3 linked regions of the Drosophila melanogaster genome follow. The protein of the gene in region 2 interacts with the protein of the main gene of each other region in a pairwise test. Each region holds a gene or a part of one and is shown on either strand. Other genes may lie near its edges.

Evidence for each region. The genes of interacting proteins can lie anywhere in the genome.
Region 1: the proteins of CG9192 (region 2) and CG13050 interact in a two-hybrid assay, tested with the Drosophila melanogaster proteins (one large-scale study listed by BioGRID).
Region 3: the proteins of CG9192 (region 2) and CG2157 interact in a two-hybrid assay, tested with the Drosophila melanogaster proteins (one large-scale study listed by BioGRID).

Annotation. Positions count from the first base shown.
Region 1 is NT_037436.4:16,276,029-16,282,435, forward strand, and holds CG13050 (uncharacterized protein), read right to left. Parts: upstream 3,244-6,407; 5' UTR 3,182-3,243; coding exon 3,173-3,181; intron 3,053-3,172; coding exon 2,630-3,052; 3' UTR 2,430-2,629; downstream 1-2,429. Other genes in the region: CG13065 (uncharacterized protein), read left to right, coding at 1,459-1,470, 1,540-1,950; CG13064 (uncharacterized protein), read left to right, coding at 4,451-4,459, 4,523-4,777; CG13049 (uncharacterized protein), read right to left, coding at 5,230-5,757, 5,821-5,838.
Region 2 is NT_037436.4:1,235,109-1,242,179, reverse strand, and holds CG9192 (uncharacterized protein), read left to right. Parts: upstream 1-3,860; 5' UTR 3,861-3,944; coding exon 3,945-4,880; 3' UTR 4,881-5,047; downstream 5,048-7,071. Other genes in the region: Klp61F (Kinesin-like protein at 61F), read left to right, coding at 1-104, 189-212; galene, read right to left, coding at 698-903, 959-2,361, 2,426-2,552, 5,097-5,343, 5,403-5,609; CG33966 (uncharacterized protein), read right to left, coding at 6,947-7,071.
Region 3 is NC_004354.4:10,865,844-10,873,134, reverse strand, and holds CG2157 (uncharacterized protein), read right to left. Parts: upstream 3,852-7,291; 5' UTR 3,756-3,851; coding exon 3,744-3,755; intron 3,399-3,743; coding exon 3,026-3,398; intron 2,953-3,025; coding exon 2,594-2,952; 3' UTR 2,432-2,593; downstream 1-2,431.

The DNA of each region.
Region 1 (6,407 bases), about 15 Mb from region 2:
CACATTGAGTAAAACTAACTTGCGCAGAAGGTGTTAAGTGCACGCATGCACTTTTGCTGCCTGCAGGGCGGTGATTTCAACAAGTGCTGGATTGGGTCTCCAATCCGACCCCCCTCCCATCAGCCCCCCTTTTCGGCCACGCCCCTTTCATAAGTGTTAAGTGTTTGGAGCTTGCGTAAAGCGCTGTCTGGAAAATGTGCTTCGAGTGGGTCGCCGGCAATTAAGTGGCAGCCGCAGTTCCTTCGGCATTGTTGTTGCAGTTGCATGAGTTATGGGTGCACTGGTTCATAAGTTGGCACCGCCAGTGGCGTCGTTTGGCCCAGGATTCCCTCCCGTTGCACTAGAAGAACGACCTTGCCCACGCCCCTGTCTACGATCGTTTATTGTTCTTGGCACACACTGCATTTGCCCCACATAGAACGATCTCGAGGCGGATCTGGATCTGGTTTTTGCTTCGGTTTTACGCACAGGTGTGTATCTGCCACGCCCCTTTCATTGCCGGCCTGTGTTGTAATTATTAAGACTTTGGCTCCGCGAATGCTCGAGCATTTACTGCGAAAATTTCTACAGCAAAATAGCCTCACGCATTTGAATGAATTTAAACGGCGGAATGGGCGAAACTTGTTGCCTGCATGGAAATAAATGCATACAAGAACCCAAAAAGGCAAGATACAAAATGCAATTTAAGTTTTTCTCACGCACACCTTGTCGCGGCTTCGGCATTAGGTAAATAGACCAAAAACAAATTTATCAGAAATTATTCAAAATAAAAACAAAAATGGTCGAAACGTTGATCGATTGGGGAAATACCCTTTGACTGGAGACAATTATGAATATTCAATATAAACAGCATAATACTTATAATAGATAATATATATTTAGATTGAAATTTCCATAAATATATTAAAAATATTAAGACAAAATAAGTTCTAATAGTGTAAATAGGTAAATATAAATATTTCATTATTGTGAACCGAATAACTCACAGAATAACTACTATCCTTGTAGAAGAATCAAAAATTTAATGAATAATTTATGTAATATTTCATTTGATGACTTTCCTAATTACGTATTAAAATCCTTATTATTCATTAGATAAAAACAATCTCTCATTTAGTTTACCACCGAAAGGGTATGGCCAAATCGCAGCCCAGGCCCACATCCGCGTTGTCTGGGGCGGGGCCAGGTGGTGCTCCGGTGGGTCCCAGGTCTCCATCGCCATCTCGATACTCGACAGGCCAGCTTTGCATGTGGCTCTCTTGGACTCGGTTTTGGGCTACGAATATGCCTATGTCTCTCGTTTGAACAAAAGTAAAAGTCTCTGGGCCGCCAGTTTGGATCCGTTCTCGTGCTGCATTTTGGCCAGGTCTGTGGGCTATAAAAGCATTTGTGCCTTAGACAGCGGCATTATTCAGCTTTGTGTTCTTGCCACGAGTTCAACTTGCAACCAAAACCAAAATGTTCAAATACGTAAGTGGAATTGATATACTCTGAAAAGTCCTTTGTTAGTATCTCATTTTTTTTTCCCCCATCAACTAGTTCGTTTTCGCCGTTTTCTGCCTGGCCAGCGCTGCTGCTGCTCCTGGCTATTTGGGCGGATTAGCTGCTCCGGCCTTGCCGCTGACTGCAGCTGCTCCGGCCATCTCCTATGGACACGCCTTGGCTGCTCCCTCGATTGCCTCTTACGGGCTGGCCCCCAGGCTTAGCTATGCCGCCCCGGCCTTGGCGCACGCTCCTCTGGCTGCTCCGGCCCTTTCCGCCTACGGATTGGGATATGGTCCCGGTCCCATTGGCCTGGCTCATGGTCCTTTGGGACTAGCTCACGCCCCTCTGGCCGCTCCCTTGGGATTGGGCTACAAGTCGGCATATCCTACTCTGGGTGCTCCTCTGGGACTGGGCTACAAGACAGCTCTTGCTGCTCCTGCCTATGGACTCGCTCATGGATGGTAAACGAGGTCCATACCACCCATCATCGTTTTCCGCATGCATTTCGTTTTGTTTGGATCGGTCAGAAATGAGATGTAAATACACAGAGAAAAAAGAGAGAGAGAGAAATCAGTGAAGGTTTTGTAAAGTGAAATCAAATTGTTAAAAAACAGATTGTGAAGAGTGGGTTTGATGTTGAAATATATTTCGATTGAATTTAAAAACTAAACTTAAAACTGTTTTATTTGATCAAGCGTTTGAGGCAATATGAAAAACGTGCTGACAATTTTCAAATATTCAGTTTCATTTTGTTTTTCAGATATTTATTTTCAGATTTCAGTATTTGGATGTTCCTTATAGCCAAAGTTTTGAAATCGTAAACGAATGTTATATATTTTGTTCAGAACATCAAAAGTGTGCTTTACTTACATTAAGTATCAAAATATATGTTTAGTATAGGCAATTAAGACAATTATAAATATGTCTCAAAGAACCGTGAGAAAAAAAGATCCAGTTTTAATAAACGGTTGACCATGATTCTAGTTTTTTGTACATTTTTTGCTTTGTCTTTATTGATTTATTGACTTGCTGAGTGACTGACTGAATAAGATTTGGGTACTGCGAAGTATATGACTTGATTGAAAACTCTCACACGCTCGTCCCGGCTCCATTTGGCTTAACTTTACTTGACTTGGGAGTACCTCTACCAACCGTGGCCATAGCCATATCCCAGTCCGTATCCCAGACCCAGACCCAGACCCAGACCGTGTCCTCCGTACAGTCCATGGCCGTAGCCTCCGAGATATCCGTGACCGAGGCCATAGCCATAGCCGCCCAAGTAGCTTTTGCCGATGATCGTCTTGGAGATGATGGGTGCATGGTAGCCCAATCCCAGACCAAGACCTCCATAGTGCCCGCCATAGCCGTGCCCGTAGAGTCCTCCGTAGTGCCCGATTCCTAGACCCAATCCCAGGCCATATCCACCGTAGCCATGACCAATTCCGATTCCAATGCTGGGTGATGGAGATGGAGCAGGAGCTGGAGACGGAGATGGTTCTGGAGCGGGTTCAGGAGCAGGAGCTGCCAGGATGGAGGTCGTCAAGCAGGCGATTGTAATGAGTAGCAGCTTTCAATGAAGAAAAGACAAATGTTATTTATATGATTTAAGTAAAAAAAATTGCTTATATTTTCTAAAGTATTTTTTATTAATAATTGTATTATCCTTTTATATCCTGGTACCACTTACTCCTTTCATCTTGCTGTAGGTAATTTTCCGGCTGCTTCTGTGGCGGCTTAACCAATTGTGTTGCTGCAGTTGATCCCAGCAGGCCTCTTTTATACCAAACCCCAGTTCAGTGGATTGCATCCCCACATGGACATCGGTGATCTAATGAGCAGTGCCACAAAGTAAATCTAATTCGCCTGACAAGTTGCCCAAGTTAGCGGCATGCCACAAAACCATCCGTAGCTGCTGTAAATAAAAAGAAAATCCAACACCTGTTTTTTTTTGCCTTTTGGGCCAGCATTGTATAATCTGCAATCGAGTTTGGCATTTACCAGTCCACAATGGTTCCAGTTCCAGTTTTTAATTTGGCCTGTGGGCATTTTAAATCTGGTGGGTGGCCTTTTCCTTCGTTTCCTTCATGTGATTCCGGTTGGATCTGATCAAGAACTAAGATCTGAACTTCGGGTCAATGGTCTGTTTATTTTTATTCAGTATAGAAAAGAAGAGAACTATATAAGTAAAAGTATAGACTCCTCCAAAAAAACGCTATATATTCGTAGGTTTAATTTAAATATATTTCAAAATCTATTTTTCACGAATCTATAACACAAGTATATATTAAGCAAAATTTGTATGTGTCAGACTGGCCACAAAAGCAACTTCGTTGTAGGGAGTGTGCTAGTATTAAAACTAAAACAACGTTTATAACCGCTTTAGCATAAAGAGCTCGAACAGCCGCTGAATAAAGTCAAACTAATCAATTCTTAACACCTCCAAAGCCACATAAAATAGCTCGAAAAACACAAGATTGGGCAATGATTAAAATTGAAAAGAGACATCAAATGGGTAAACAAAGGCAAATCCGCAGACGTGTGACCAACTAACTCATACTTCCCAAGAAAAAAAAAACAAACAAACAAAAAGCCGAGAAATGTAAGACAACAAAAGCAACCAACCAACCCAATGTGCCATAATTAAGTGCACAAAAGAGTCACTGACTCTTTGATAATCTTCGGCGTTGACGCTTTAAACTTGAACTTGAAAACGGGTTTCTTTTCGAAGAGAAGGGGACCAGAGGCCAAGTGGAGTAGTGCTCCCACTACATGGATGTTGCAACAGGTTCCTGGTAGCAAGGGAAATGCAGTTGCTGATCTCAGGGGATTGTCAACCGGTTTACCCCTCCTAACTGTTTAAAAGCGCTATGAAAATCCAGCGATGAAGACGAGCCTATAAATTGATTGGCCTTCGGCTGCATTCAGCTTAGTCCAAGTGCAGTTCTGACCACAATATCACCAGAGAATGTTCAAGGTAAACAGGATAGATACTCAGTACTCCTTTATTAGTATCTGTATCTGATAGATCTTATTTTAGCTCGTCGTGCTATTCGGCCTTTTGAGTGGTGCCTTTGCCGCCACGGTTATCTACCATCACCCGGTGATCTATCATCATCCTCTGCCGGTTGCATCAACGCCCCAGGAGTTGGCTCAGCATCCTGGCTACACCATTGTGGCACCTCTCACGAAGATTGCCCACGTCACCTACGATTCGGTGCCCATTTCGCACACGCCCTACGAACATGTTCCTCTCTTCCAGAGGATTGGTCATGTCAAAAACATTAGGTTCTAGCGATGTATACCCTAGAAAAACATAGTTTAACTTATAAATAAAAACAAATAATAATAATAATCATTCTTTTAATCATTACGTTTAACATTGCTGCTATCACTGATGAATGATTCTATAAAACTTACCTAAAAATCCGTAAAAAATATAGAAACCGTTTATATGGTTTTAGAAGGTATTATATATTATCCGCTAATGATGTTCGACTTTTAAGAGCAGTATTAATTTGAAATATGATTTTGGATGGTATAATCCAAGGCAGCTATAATAGGAAATACTACTGAGAGGCTACCAAGTAAACTTCCTCAAAGAAACACGTTTGTAAATTTGATTAATGGATAATTGTTTATTCGCCAAGCATTGCTGCTCTCTAGGAGATGAAGATTTGGGCTAGTTTCTACAATCTAATAGGACGGATGGGAGTGTATGAGCTGGGTGATCCTACAGCTAAGTCCTTAGAAGAAGTATGGGGCGGGAGCGAACTTGGGGGCCACAGCCAGAGGCGCTGGGACTGGAGCAGCCAGGGGAGCGGCGAAGGGTCCGAATCCGAACTTGGCTGGTGCGGCGAAGGCAACAGGCGCCGGAGCAGGGGCGAAGCCCAGAGGAGCAGCCACCGGAGCGGGAGCGGCGAAGGCAACCTTGGCGGGAGCAGCAAAGGCCACCGGAGCAGGAGCAGCAGCCACTGGCAGAGGAGCAGGAGCGGCAAAGGCCACTGGAGCGGGAGCAGCAACTGGAACGGGCAGGGGAGCGGGAAGGGGAGCAGCGAAGGCCACTGGAGCTGGAGCAGGAGCCACTGGGTATGCCACGGCGTGGTTGATGCGGTGGGCATTGAAGCTGGAGGCATATGGAGCCACCACTCCGGCGGTAGCCACAGGAGCAGCCAGGGGAGCTGCGAAGGCAGGAGCAAGTGGAGCAGCCAGTGGAGCCGGAGCATGGAAAGGAAGGAGACCAGCCTGAGCAGAGGCCACGCAGAGGGCAACGAGCTGTAAATGAAGGTATATATCTATAATCCACTTCGATAGATCCGGACATCCTTTGCAACTCACCACAATCTTGGCGAACATTTTGGGGATTGGGTATGATTTGCTAGGTGTGATTAGCTTGAAGGCAGACTGAACTGTGATATCCAATTGTCCACTGGGTAACGCTTTTATAATTCTGTAGCCCACGGAATATCCATGGACGCGCATACGAAAACACCTTGGAAGACTTTCTATATTGGGAGCTGATGAAGGGCGTTGCTGGATCGGTGCGATATATGTACATATGTACTTAATAATCAATCGGTAGCCTCTTACGTCGATCGCCCCCGAAAACTTTCATAATTGCACGCAATTCCCGACCATAACCTAGGTTAATATTGGGCAAGATTTCGTTTGGGTTTCGGTCGGGTTTATGACAGTTGGGGCTTTTCGAATATTTTCGGTGGGTGGTGCTTTTGTAATGAGCTGCAATTATTTACCCAGAGTACGTGTTACTTGGCTCAATCATTTAATTGAATTACCACTTTTTTTCGTCCACCCGCTTTTTGTTTATTGTTGCAACAATTGTCGCGTGTTTGGGCCGGGTTTGTGTCTGGAATTTCTGATTTGATTTCATGTTGCGTGCAGTTCGAAATCCACTAACAACATTT
Region 2 (7,071 bases):
CCCTAAAGCCACCCGTAGCTACTGGTGGAAAACGCAGCAGCTCGTTGTCACGTTCCCTGACACCCAGTAAAACGTCACCTCGAGGTTCTCCCGCCTTCGTCAGGGTAAGTCAAGTGCAAGTCCGCTAATGACTTAACAAATAAAGGGTGGGGATATATTATCATTGCTTTTATTTTCAATATTTTTAGCACAACAAAGAAAACGTAGCCTGATTGCATTCGATGACAGTAGTAGTCTCCCCTTCCCAGTAACCCGTTTATGTTAGTGGATTTCGGATCGCTGTGTTTGTTTGGCTCTTCTGGATATTCATTTTATCTGTATATCAATCTTTGGAATTTCGTACATTTATTATTTAAATAAACTCAGTATGCTATGTAAAGTTAAGGAAATCTTTAGTTCAAGTGCAGGTTTAAGATATATCAGAAGGTATTCTTAAACTTCGATACTATTTTTTAGGGAAGAAGTGAATTTGGTTTTTTAATGATGTCATGCCTTCCAAGGAAGCGCTTTATAATTAATATAATCTTAACTATTTTACTTATCATATTCTCGTTTGTGAATTTAAATTTGTTGAAGTTTTTTTTCATAAAACATTTAAACATATTAAATATCCATCTTTCAAAGTGTGTTCCTTATAATTAGAGCATCCAACATATTTAGGAAAAAACAGATGTCATAACTATCTATCTATCTATTACTAATCCTCATCCTGCTCGTCGTCATCATCCTTAAGAATGCCCAGACGGCGGGCTACCTCCTTCACATTGGCAATGAACTCCTCCTGGACCAGGTTAAAACTCATGGCCAACAAGGCAATGCCGAAAAGAAGGTACAGCGAGCAATAGGCGATGGACTGCTCCGACTCGTCCTTGACTCCTTTCGCGGGGACAAAGTCACCAAATCCTGTAATGCAAAAGCAGATGAAAAGAGTGCGCAAGGAATTGGGATAAACACAAACCGATTGTTGTCAGTGTAATGAAGCAAAAGTAGGCGGAATCCAAGAAGGACCAGTTCTCCCAGTACGCAAAAAGAACAGCTCCGCCAAGGATGTAGCTCACTACCAGAAAGACGCATAACCAAATGGGGACAGGTCGATCCTTGGGCAGCAGATCTCCATAGTCCCCATACTCATCCCCGTACATAGAGTCATCGTCGTCGTAATCGTAGCTGGGTCGCCGACGGATTTGCCGCTGGACCGGAAATCCCATTGGTGACATGATTCTCGGGGAAGGGGGCAAACGTTCAGCCCGCTCTCTTCGGCGATTTCTTTTTGGTTCTCGACTCCTTGAGTGGTGGCGCTCAGGCGGATAATCCTCGTAGTTATTGTCTCCGTAAAGGGATCCCTCATCGAAGCTCTCTTCCACGTAGTCCTCGTAGCGACCCTGGGAGTGACCACGCCTATCCCGTCGATGGTCCCGTCCCGGCGGTGGAGCATCATAGTCGGGAAGTTCGAGATGGTTGCCATAGCGAGATGATTGCCTGCCCAGACTTCCAGCTCGTCTATCATGCTGTTGGCGATAGGAGCTCTGCGGTGGCGGCTGTGGAGATCGTTCCCGTTCTCTGTCCTTCTGGCGTTGCCTTTGGTGAGCAGATCTGGGCATGGATTGACTCCTTGGAGCTGCTTGTCTTCTGTTGCCCCCGAAGTCATCTAAAGCATACCTATTTGGTATAATTGGTGTTTTCCTCACCACGTCCTCGTCGACGTCTTCGTAATGTGAAGAAACGTGCCTGGGATCCACGGACTTGGCCCTACTTCTCCCAGGTGCCGAGTGAAGACGATGCAGTTCTCTGGACGCTTTGGAAGATTCCTGATTGTGTGGCGATCGAACCGATCGCACACTGGCAGCTCTTTTCGCAGGAGGTTGCATGTCACCGAAGTCCTCAATGGATCCAGCATCCAAGTGGGATCGAGAGTAGCGCTCCCTTTCTACCGTGTGTCTGTCCCTCATCCGATCCCGTTGTCTTTGCCGGCTACTGTAGCGGTTGGATCTGTTCAGGGTCTGAGTTTCGTACCCATCTCCGTAAATGGTGTGACGCTGGCGAGGATCGTGATGCAAATGCTGCTGCTGCTGCTGACGACGATTGCGTCCGCCTCCACTGCTCCGATGTCCGAACTCGCGGTCATCGTAGCCCCGGCCCATGGTGCGCAGGTCGGGATCTGAATAGGCATGACCCATGGAAGGACCCAGACCCGAGTCATTCCCAGACCGTTGGGTCATCTTCATGGAGCGCCGGAACGAGGGCGGCGGCTGGGATCGGGCATGGCGCTGAGAGCGCATCGATCTCTGCCGGGATCGGGCATTCCTCGGACGTTTGGCCGTGCGGGTGCACACATAGCAGCATATTCTCCAGTACAGAAACCTATATTGGAATATATGTATGAAAACATACTCATTTAGTTCTCAGCTCATCGATGTCAACTCACCGAAATGATGTGGCCATGACATCGCCAATGTTGGACAAGCAGATGAGCATCAGCGGAATGCCCACAATGGCGTAGAAAATCGTTGTCACCTTGCCCCAATCCGTACGCGGCGATATGTGACCATAGCCTGTCCAGAGAATGACAAGGAACACATAATTACTCTTTCGCAGATAGGTAAGATTGATTTTGAGTCACCTTTCACCTTCAACCTCGTGACCGCAAAGTTCTTGAAATACTAATGAATCTAAGACCCGCTAAGGCCCAATCCCCAATCCATATGTACTTCTTTTTGTTCATGCCAAGCCCATTATCGCTTCGAAATAGCAAACATGGCATTTCAAGTCTGCCGCTTTTGGCCTTTACGGAAGTGTGCAAATTCGTAGATAGCATTCTGTGCCCCTCTTCGCGGGGTTCTATCTGATGGGCGTCGGTCACTAAACCCATTTGTGTGCTAGCCGTAAATCCATATCGGGGAAAAGTGCAGACGAAAAGCGTAAAACTAAGCTCCCATCATCAACAGCCAGAGCTAATAAACTGATTTATACCAAATACTTCCACTCGAAAGCCGAAAAGTTGAATGCTCTAAGTGGGTTAAAGTGAAAAAGGTTTCTGTATACTTTTAAAGTAGGAGAGTTTATAGAGTTCTTGGGGTTTGCTTAAGGCCTTCGATTGAAAACCTTCCATGCACCACTTCCCCTTTTATGAGTAATCACTAATCACCAACACCCCCTGTGTGTTAGGGTATACTAATAATGAGAAATTCCCATCGTTAAAATCTAAAAATCTGAAATGCCAGAAAAGATAATCACGATCGGTCAGTGGCGTTTGACCTTGCTGTTGTTTTGACCACAAACAATTGGATGGCAGCAATCCACTTTTGGTTTCATTTGACACGCTCCACACACCCTCGCTCCCTTTGAAAGCCATCACCACCCGAATGAACCCATTTTTAGAGGTCAACCACGTGCTGGCTGCTCACCTGACTGTGTCCGAGCTGAATCTTTGACTTGTGACTCCCGCCCTGCAAAGGAAGCAAGCATATGTTTTCCAACTCATGGAAATTCCCAGGAATAAGCTTTTAGGTCGATCGGTGGTGGTCAATTACCGTGATTTATGCGATTTCAACGTGATCGCTGTGTGGACAAAACCAATTGTCCGACTCATCCGCTTGCCTCATTGGTTCCTGGGCGGATTGCGGTCTGGTCGCGCTTCAGGTGAATCAACGTGGGCCAAGACTTGGGCCACAGATCTCTGAAGATTTCTGTCTGGCACGATCGTTGATTCATTGGTCGGGCAGCCGCCGAATGCGAATACCTGCGGCTGCCCTCGTCGCTTGACTGAGTTTGTGCGTCGTCATCGCCGCTGATGTCTCTGGCGGTTGTATTTGTTTTTTGGTTCTCGGGTGCGGTTATATAAGTAGTGTGTGCCGGTCGCATTTTCGAACTATTCTGTTGCGGGAGCTTGCCGCGATCAAGCGCAAAAATCGGGTCAGTGTGTAATCGAACAAAGCGTGCCAATCATGCCAAGCTATTGCCTCATCATCGTCCTATGCCTTCTTGGATCAGTGGCGGCTAAGTCTTCGGATGGAGATCGAGATCAGTGGGTCTGGAGGTCCTACAATCGCAGGGAGCGCTCTTTTCGGGACATCAATCGCAGTTCCCCCATAAGGAACTCGTACGACGAAAAGCTGAGGCGGGAGCCCACGACTCGAAGACCTTTTCCGGGCGAACCGGAGAATGATGAGATAGAGGACTATGCCGATGTGGAGCCCACCAGGTCATCGGACACTCCCAACGTAGGCACCCGTCAGTTTAATCCATACGGTGGTCAGACCAATGCCGGACAGTTCGGAGGACTTGGAGGCTATAACGGAAACCCCGGAGTGCTAGTCGGACCTGGCGGACCCACCGGAATCATAGGGAGACCGCAGCTATACCCCACTCCCTATCAGCCAGGCTATGGTGGATTCTCTGGAGCTCAAAATGGCATTAGTGGATATCCAGGCGGATACGGAGGAGTAGGACAGGGACTTCCCGGAGCTGGATTCCCCGGAGCCAGCGTGGGTGGTGGGTTTAACAACTTCCCCAGTAATGGACTTGGCCTCAACCAATTTCCTGGCAATGGGCAATACCCTTACGGCTCCTATCCAGGTGGCGACTTCGGTGGAAGCCAATTCGCGGGCGCAGGTGCCCAGTTCCCAGGATTGGGACAGTACCCAGCAAACCAACAGTTCGGTGGACCTCAGTACACCGAGGGCTATGGTCTGGCAGGAGGACTGGGCTTAGGTCAACTTGGAGTAGGCAACGGTGGACTCGGATACGGTGGAAGTTTTCCACCTCTAGGAGGAGGCTTCGGCTATGACGAGAAATCGCCAGCTGTGGCCGATGGTAAGAGTGCTAAGAGTGTGGCAGCGTCACCCAGAAAAGTGAATGATAAGCTCAGTAAGAAGGTCTAGAGCTTCGTGTTTTAGAAGTGGAAGGTGTTATGTTAAAGATATGGAACTGAAGCTATTACTTTCCCACTCAACCCTCCTTTTTCCCTTAGGCTGAGTTGGAAGTAGTCACCTTAGTGTAGGCATAGTTTACGTATAGACTAAGCAAATAAATTCCCATGTTTACTCACACATGACTTTGAAGAACTCAATCCATAAGCTTAAAAAAAACATACTCACCTATGGTCGTTATCACAATAATCGAGTAGAACAGGGATCCGGCAAAGGTCCACTGGGACTTGCGCAGATCCTCGTCGCCATCCCAGCCGTCGGCCTTGATGGCCGTAAGGATTTGCTTTTCAAAATTGGCCAGGTGCTTGCTGACATTGGCCATCCAATCGCTTTCCCTTAGGACCACTGCGTCGTCGGACAGTAGCCAGATATTCTCCGTGAGATTAACGCGAAGATTCTGTATGTCTCGCTTCACCTGCATGGGGATTTTGGATTTTTAGCATTTGAGACCTTCCAGCAAAATCACCCACTCACCTCTAGTTCGTGGGGTCGTTCGAGATGCTGGAAGAGGTAGGCACCGCCCACGCAATAGGAAACCACGAGAAGCACGAGCAGCACATGGGACACAATGCAGGTGAGCACCTTCCACGAGAAGCAGATGGCAGCTACACAGCGTCCGCGTTGCGGCTTCGCTGGCTCCAACATGTGCGCCGGCAGAGATTGGGCCCGCCTACCCGACATGGTCACCCTCCTCTGGCCTCCTCCTTCCTTTGGCTAATTTGCCGCTCGGTTGGCTGTGAATTATGAAAGGCAAAATAAACTAAATAAAGGATGGGACGAAAATGTTTGGAGGTCGGCCTGGCAAATACCCTTAGAAATTGTAAATTGTTGTTGAGATGAAGAGTTGTTTGAGAGTGCCTCTCCGAAGTAATATATTGTAGTAACCTTAATGGGAATGCTACATAATGTTTAAAATTATGCCTGCGAATAAACACGCCTTCTATGGCGTTCGTTTCAGAAATCGTTGGTAATCTCCAAAGGAGCAATTACCGAGAAGCCAAAAGGTAAACCAGACAAAGCTCCACGGCACATATGTTTATTTGTCCAAATATTTATTTATTTGGGTTGCTGGGGCAAGGCCGAAGAGCCAAGGGGATCAGGTGCGGAAGACTCGACTCCATGAGACTATTTTGGGTGCCGCCGCCCGGCGGGGCATTCATCTCATCGTCAAATCTCGTGCCACGCCTGTCGAGAACTCTGCTGGTTCCTCTTGCTTATAGATGCGGACTACATAACATGTCCGAGCAATTATGAACTTCGATTTCATGTGGGCAATTAGCGCTGGTGAATTATGGGCCCATCGGGATTGGGCATTGGACTGCTGTTAATGATGATTACCGATCGCTGATCGCCTTCTGATTCGCACTGAGGAAAACTTTTCAGTTTTCCACATTAAGTTCCATGCTGTATATTTTGCCCGCACTCTCCCGTCTTCCGTCTAACAATCCGTTTCCGATTCTATATCCGATGGGATCCGTACAGAGAAAAGAAGCACCGATCCGTACGAGCCACAAATTCTTACTGCGGATCGCAGCTACAGATGGACTCTCCACGGATCGCTCGGGAAATTGGGTTTATTTTTGGTCTAACGCGAAGTTCTCTTGTCTTCCGTAGATATATAGTTTTGGAAAAACTTTTATTTTCGGCTTTTCTCTGGTCGTCGTTTGTTTTGTATTGTTTGGCTCTCTCAGTCGTCGCACTTTGTGTTTTGATTATGGTGTCTATCTGATTGAAGGAATCAATTAATCTGCTGCTACAGGTGGTCTAACTGATAAGCAATGCATGGACTTAATCTACAATTTTTAAATGAAAATCATAAACTCGTTAACGTGTAATTGAATATAAAATTAACTATCTTTATTACATGCTGTGCTAAGTTTTCGGCTTGTTTTTTATGCTCTTAGCGCTATGCTTATCACAAATCGACTGGTGTACAACCATTACCTTTGTTACCTTAGATAAGAGCTGCAGCTAAGACTATTTTAAGCAATTTAGCAGGGTTAGGAGGGCTTGACACTTCAGTCCACATTCAATTGCCGGAAGGAGCCCTGCAGACCAAAAAGACTCTCGAAGTCAACAGGCTGACCCACTCGGAGGCTTTCATCGGTTCCGTAGTTCTTCTCCTCCTCCCAGTAATTCCGGT
Region 3 (7,291 bases), on a different chromosome or scaffold from region 2:
TAAGTGCTACACCACAAGCCAATTGCGATGATGATAATGATGATGACTGATATAAGGACTTTTCCCTTTCAACCCATAGCAACTTTTCGCACTACATCAATCGGTTCAGCATGCCGGGTGGATCGGATAACATGTTCTATAGCTTCGATCTTGGACCGGTGCACTTCATCGGTTTTAGCACAGAAGTCTATTATTTCACTAAGTTCGGGATCAAGCAGATCGTGATGCAGTACGACTGGCTGGAGCGGGATTTGATCGAGGCCAACAAGCCAGAAAACCGGAAGAAGCGTCCCTGGATTATCACATACGGCCATCGGCCCATGTACTGCAGCAATGACAACGGAGATGACTGTGCCAATCATGAGACAATCGTTCGAAAGGGTCTGCCCATGCTGGATTTCTTCGGGCTGGAGCCACTCTTTTATCAGTACGGCGTAGATATTGAATTGTGGGCACACGAGCACTGCTACGAGCGGATGTGGCCCATGTACAACTACACCGTGTTCAATGGATCGCTGGCCGAGCCGTATGTGAATCCCGGTGCACCAATACACATCATTTCGGGAGCTGCCGGCAATCACGAGGGCAGGGAGCCATTCTTCAAGCGCATGCCTCCGTGGAGTGCCTTCCACAGCCAGGACTTTGGGTATCTTCGACTGAAGGCCCACAACGGCACCCATCTACATTTCGAGCAGGTGTCCGATGACAAGAAGGGCGAGGTCATCGATAGTTTCTGGGTGGTCAAGGACAAGCATGGACCGTACCAGTCTGATCTCAACTCAAAAACTTTGTGATATTTTATGTCGTCATATACTAAAGTATTTTAAATTCGGGCACAAATTCGAATGATTTATATTCGCAGCAATCGGACCAAGAAACTATCCTCCTTCTAAACATATATATTTTAATGAAATGTAATTACAGTTATACGCTCAAATAAAACAACTATGTATGAGTGGCAATGATTGTGGCCTACTGATTCTATAGTCTTAAGTACGAAATTCGAGGGGAAACTGTTTTTAAAACGAGATGGTTTTAAATATAAATTGGGTCTTTAAAAGTGAGAATAATCCCAGCTAATGAACTTTGTTGTAGACAATCTTCGTGATATTGTGGTGACATGGTCGACTCGAAGTTCCCCCAACGCCTCGGTGGTTAAATTCTCGCGGAACTATCTAAAAGACGAGCCGATAATGGTGAACGGCACCTGGCAGCGATTCGTCGATGGTGGAAAGAAGGCTCGCACTCAGTACATACACAATGTGGAACTGAAGGATCTGGAGCCGGACACGCGGTACGAGTACAGCTGCGGCAGTCCGCTCGGTTGGTCGGCGGTGTTCAATTTCAAGACGCCACCGGCGGGTGAGAAGTGGTCGCCCTCGTTGGCCATTTTCGGTGACATGGGCAACGAGAATGCCCAGTCGATGGGCCGACTACAGCAGGACACTGAGCGAGGCATGTACGATGCCATCATCCATGTGGGTGACTTTGCCTACGACATGGACACCTCCAACGCTGCCGTGGGTGATGCATTCATGCGCCAGATCGAGTCGGTGGCTGCCTATGTGCCCTACATGGTTTGTCCGGGCAATCACGAGGAGAAGTAGTAAGTATTTGATGATGCCGGTGTGTTAACTATTCAAACCTAACTTACTTTGGCCCATCACAGCAACTTCTCCAACTATCGCGCCCGCTTCAATATGCCCGGCGAAACGGACAGCTTGTGGTACAGCTTCAACTTGGGACCCGTGCACTTTGTCTCCTTCTCCACGGAGGTCTACTACTTCCTCAGCTATGGCTTCAAGTTGCTGACCAAGCAATTCGAGTGGCTGGAACGTGACCTGGCCGAGGCCAATCTGCCCGAGAATCGGGCCAAACGTCCGTGGATCATCACCTACGGTCATCGACCGATGTACTGCAGCGACGACAAGGAGTACGATTGCAATAGCCAACTGGAGACGTACATTCGCCAGGGTCTGCCCATGCTCAAGTGGTTCGGCCTGGAGGATCTGTTCTACAAGCACGGCGTCGACGTGGAGATCTTTGCGCATGAACACTTCTACACTCGCCTGTGGCCAATCTACGACTACAAGGTGTACAATGGCAGTGCCGAGGCGCCATACACTAATCCCAAGGCGCCCATCCAGATCATCACGGGTTCCGCCGGCTGCAAGGAGGAGCGCGAGCCCTTCTCCAACGATTTGCCCATCTGGAATGCCTACCATAGCAATGTAATTGAATGACCTGCTTAATATCAAAACGGAATACTATAATTCTATAATCTCTTTAGGATTACGGATACACCCGCTTGAAGGCACATAATGGCACGCATCTTCACTTCGAGCAGGTGTCCGATGACCAGAACGGCGCCATTGTCGACTCCTTCTGGGTGATCAAGGACAAGCATGGCGCATATCCATCGCCCCAATGAGATTACATGCATATATAAATATATACTTTCTAGTTAAATGACGATTATGATAATGTATTTTTTTGTAGCATCTTTTAATAAAAATAAAGTTAGAAAAAAATATATCGATGAAAAAAAATAAATTCCACTAGCTTAGATCTTGAACGTTGGACCGTGCGGTGTCTAGTAGACGGTTCCCGAGATTCCGGAACCGTAGTTATAGCCCGATCCGATGGGCGGCACTCCGCCCAAAGCGCCCAAGCCGCCGCCCACCACGCTGTTGCCATAGTTGCTCGTATAGTAACTGGATGGATAGCCACCAGCGCCGAATCGGGTGTTGTAGTACGGATACCCAGTGCCGGCTCCAGCGCCCAGCCTGCTGTTGTAGTATGACAGGGCGTATGGATTCGAGTTGTAGGAGCCACCATAACCACTAAGTCCCGATCCATAGCCACCAAGAGCGGATCCATAGCCACCCAAAGCGGATCCATAGCCGCCCAGAGTGGATCCATAGCCTCCGTATCCGGCCACTGCAGCACCATCTGGGGATTGAGAAACAGCGTTGGTATACTACGAGTCTTCGGCAAGAGATTGAGAGTCTTCTTTCAAGCTCACCCTCACCTAATCCACCCAGAGCTCGCGAGCTGTACGGATTGTAGTAGCTGTCCACGCCAACGCCGACGCCACTGCCGTACGCTCCTCCATAGCCGGCTCCCAGGCCAGAGGCATAGCCGCCGTATCCTGCGCCATATCCGGCGCCATAGCCGCCGTATCCCGCGCCGTAGCCCGCTCCGTAGCCACCGTATCCACCAACATAGCGCTTCTCCTGCTTCTTATCCTGCAGCGGGGCATAGCTGCTGGCGGCGCTCACCTGATCCTCCACGGCCACCGCATCCGGTGCCGATGCGGATGCCACCTGCTCCAGGTCAGAATCCGCCGCGTCCTGGGCATAGGCACTCAGCACCAGACTGGTTGCTATCAGGATAAACTGCGCGAGGATAAAGCGTCACCAAAATGTATCATATTCAAAAGATTACCACTTAAAACATATTTCAATAAAGTGAAAAGTACTTTTTAACAATAGTATTTTGTTTAACAAATTCTCAAAAGCAACATAAAACATATTCAAAAATGTAATAAAAAAAATGTAAAAAATATGTATCAACTTTAAACTAAAATTTAAATACACTTTATAATTTAACAATGAACATCAAGCATTTGGAATACAATGCTTTCAAAACTTATTATTCACTTTAACGAACTGTGTTTTTTAAATCATTTTCTAGTTTTTGGGAAATTATAATCCACGAGAGATCCTTTGGCGAGTCCTTACAAAGCACTTCATGTTGTGGCTGCCGGTTTGTGGTGTTCACTGCTTTCTGGTGGCTAACTGCTCCTTCAAGACTATGATGCGCACGCGCCGTTCGACACTTGTCTAATGATTCCCCACCGGGCCGGCAGTCGCTTTTATACCCGCCGAGCCCACTTCCAATCCCAGCGAACTCGAGCCGCGAAGTTGGACGCAACTGTTGCATCCCAGAGATTCGTGTCGCCTTGCTTGCCACCTATGTATGTATGACGCATGCCACTGGACAACGTGTATGCTGATGGGTCTTGGCTTAATCATCAAACATATTAGATTGAATTTATATCCTGGATTAGATAGTTTCCAGAATCAGATGAGCTCTACTTAACCCATTTATGGAACAACTCTGGATCAACTTAGATTGCTAATATTGTATATTAAATACATATTTATAATCTTAACTCTTTTCTTGAAGAAAACAATACCTTTCGAATGATCTACTTATGAAAAGCTGGTTGGGCGTGTTGATGTGTGATCACACATCATTATGAATATTCCCACGATCTGGGGGATCAATTATACCGCCGCCGCTCAGGAGAAGCAATAACAATGATGACAAATGCTAATTGAATCATTAACTTGACCCTGAAACAGCTAATTGGTCAACATAAAACGCGAAAATGCCCAACGATTGCAGCTTTGAAAACAAAGTTTAAAAAAAAAACGTAACAGCAATCATGCGAGTCCAGTTGAAACGATTTAGTTAGATAGATAAATATTGCGGCTAGTACGTGACTCATTTCATGAACAACAGTATCGAATTGGGTTTTCACTTTCCAGCGCTTATTTAAGCCAACTGAAATTGTTAACAAAACATCGCAGAGAAGAAGAGCCAGGCGGATCTGAATGCTTGAATTTCGCCAACAAAGGTGGCAATTGTTAATTTCTTAGAGGCTTTTTGGCCAAGTGCCTAAGCTAAGTATCCCCATTCCAACCAACATTGCTGACACATTTTCTAAAAAACCTAACGGATTGGAGTCGTAACTTCGATTGGGTTGAATGGACTGAATTAGGTTCTACCAATCTGGGCGATAGTTTTAGCATAAATTCAGGGGTATTCCACATTTAAGTACATTTAATCTATAGAGTTTAGTACAAGAAACTAAAAAGTACTCAGATGTTTCAAATAACTTTAATAATAACTTTAGCAAGTGTTTGAATAATAAAGTAGCATTTAAGAACATAACGATCTATATCCGTTTGCCATTTTCCAAAACTGCAAAACTGTAGCTTGTATCTGTGCAGTTGAAGTTACGTGTGCCAATAGCATTGCGATACTTATCCACGGATATTTACGAAATATGTCAAAATAGTTGTCGATGCCATGCTTGTGGATAGCCACATAGTATATACATACGCTTGTCATACCGCCCATATGAGTGGGTTCACATTGTTCGACCCGGCGGGCATGTGAAAAGTGTTAACTGATTCGACTGACTGTATGGATGGATAGATGGTTGGAGGGATGGATGGATAGATGGAGGGATGGATGGAGGGAGGCAACCGAAGCTACTGCCGACTGCTATGAGTTGACTTGGCCATGGGTGCACTTTGGCGATGGCCTGGGAGTTTCTCGTTTTTTTTTTTCTTTTCTTGTGCTCTTACCCCACTGAGACAATGGTTCTTTAATGCCGAGGCCTAAAAGCCCATTACACGGGCAGCCCGTGAATCTCGCGGTAAGTGGTAGCCTCCATTTCTTGGCCAACCCGCGCACACGGGGCGTATGAGTAATCAAGGAAAAGCAAGCACGGTGCAAAAATCAGATTTAGAACTTTGTCAGTTGAGATAGAGCCAGTTAAAAGCATAAAAAAATGTGGAGCAAAACTAGTATAGTGATTTTTTCAAATATCATTTAAGTTGCATATTTCATCTCAGAATTTTAAGACCATTCTAATCCATTATTGTATTCAAGAGTTTTTCTATCTTTGTATATCACTCAGTTCATGTTGTATCTTTTCCATTGAAGTATACGCACCTGTTTTTCGCAGTGCATTCGAAGGGAAGAACCAAATCCCAGATTAGACAGGTAACATTTTCCCCGGGGCGTTGCCATGATTCGTTGTTCTAATTTGCAAAAGCAAATCACGCTCGACGGTGGCAGCAATCTTGCATCATTCATGCCAGTCGCACGCCCACCAATTATATTTACAAACAGATTTAATTATAATTGAACAGAGCGGCTTGGTTAACTGAAAGCAGAAAAACTGAAAACTAAAGCGATCCAAATGCAGCTTTAAAAAAAAAAAAACCGCAAGCAAGGTACATCGAGCAAATGAAGCTGAAAATTATGATGATGCTGACTATGATGACGACGATGATGATGATGATGGGAACTTTGGGGTGGCAGTGGGTCGAAGTGGGCTGCATCTGGGTGGCTACCTTAGCTAATCTCAGACCTGGAGACAATGGTGTGGCGACAACAAATCCACAACAAAGCAAAACAAAACCATGGCCTTTTCCGCTGAACTTGCACTTTGCATAATTGCATATTACCATCAGCCAAGACCAAGAATACTTCACACGATTATCCATCCATGTGCATTGTGCGACTGGCCAAACGACAAAGTCAAGTCCCTCGCTCAAGCGGTGACCACCACCCCCATAATGGATCGTATCCCCAAGCTCCAAGCGACCTTGACCTAAATACTTAAATAATGGTAAATAATATACACCTTGTCTATTATTGCTCCACTGCAGATAATGCAACTCTCTATCAGGATACTTTCAGTTTGTCTTCAGAGTGCGATTCAATTACTATTGCCTACTCTACAGCGCAGTCCATGAAAATAGCACCAATTGAGTTACATATGCATATCAAGGTTGGGGAGATGAATGGGGTTCGGCTCTCGAAATGAATCATCTGCAATTGATTAGACGCGTCTCGTGAATAACTAGATTCGATGTCGCCAGCGATGAGTTCCAGTTCTCATTCACTTCGATTGAATGCGAAAAAAAAACAATGAAAATAGTTTGAAGATGCATGACATATCCATAAATCCCCAGACGAACGAGGCACACATAAATCGCAGCTAGAGAGACAATGCCAGGGGCAAAGTTGTAGAATCAACCCATTCCAATCAGAATCAACCCATTCAAAATGCATTTTCGGTTTGAATGCTGTAAAAAATATACATATACAAATATATACAGGACTGGGTCTCTATATATATCATGTATTCTCATGTATATATCAGTTTATTTAGTCTTCTTCAAAAGTTCTTTGGCGAGCTGCCCGCGGAGCTTCCCTCGTCAAATGGCACCTCGCCCAATCTAACTACTTTCTGTAATTTATTCATTCCTTTTTTCTCATTTTTTTTTTTTTTTTTAATTTTTTGGTTTTTAAGTTGTTGTCATTCTTTTCGTTTCATTTGATTTGATTTTTTTGTACGTTCTTTTTTGTCAATTTTTTCTTTCGATTTGTACAAAGAATAGTGCTGAAAGAAAATTAGGTATAGGTTTTATATATGATTACAATTAAGTTAATATCTGGGTATCTCTGCTCTGCTCTAATGCAT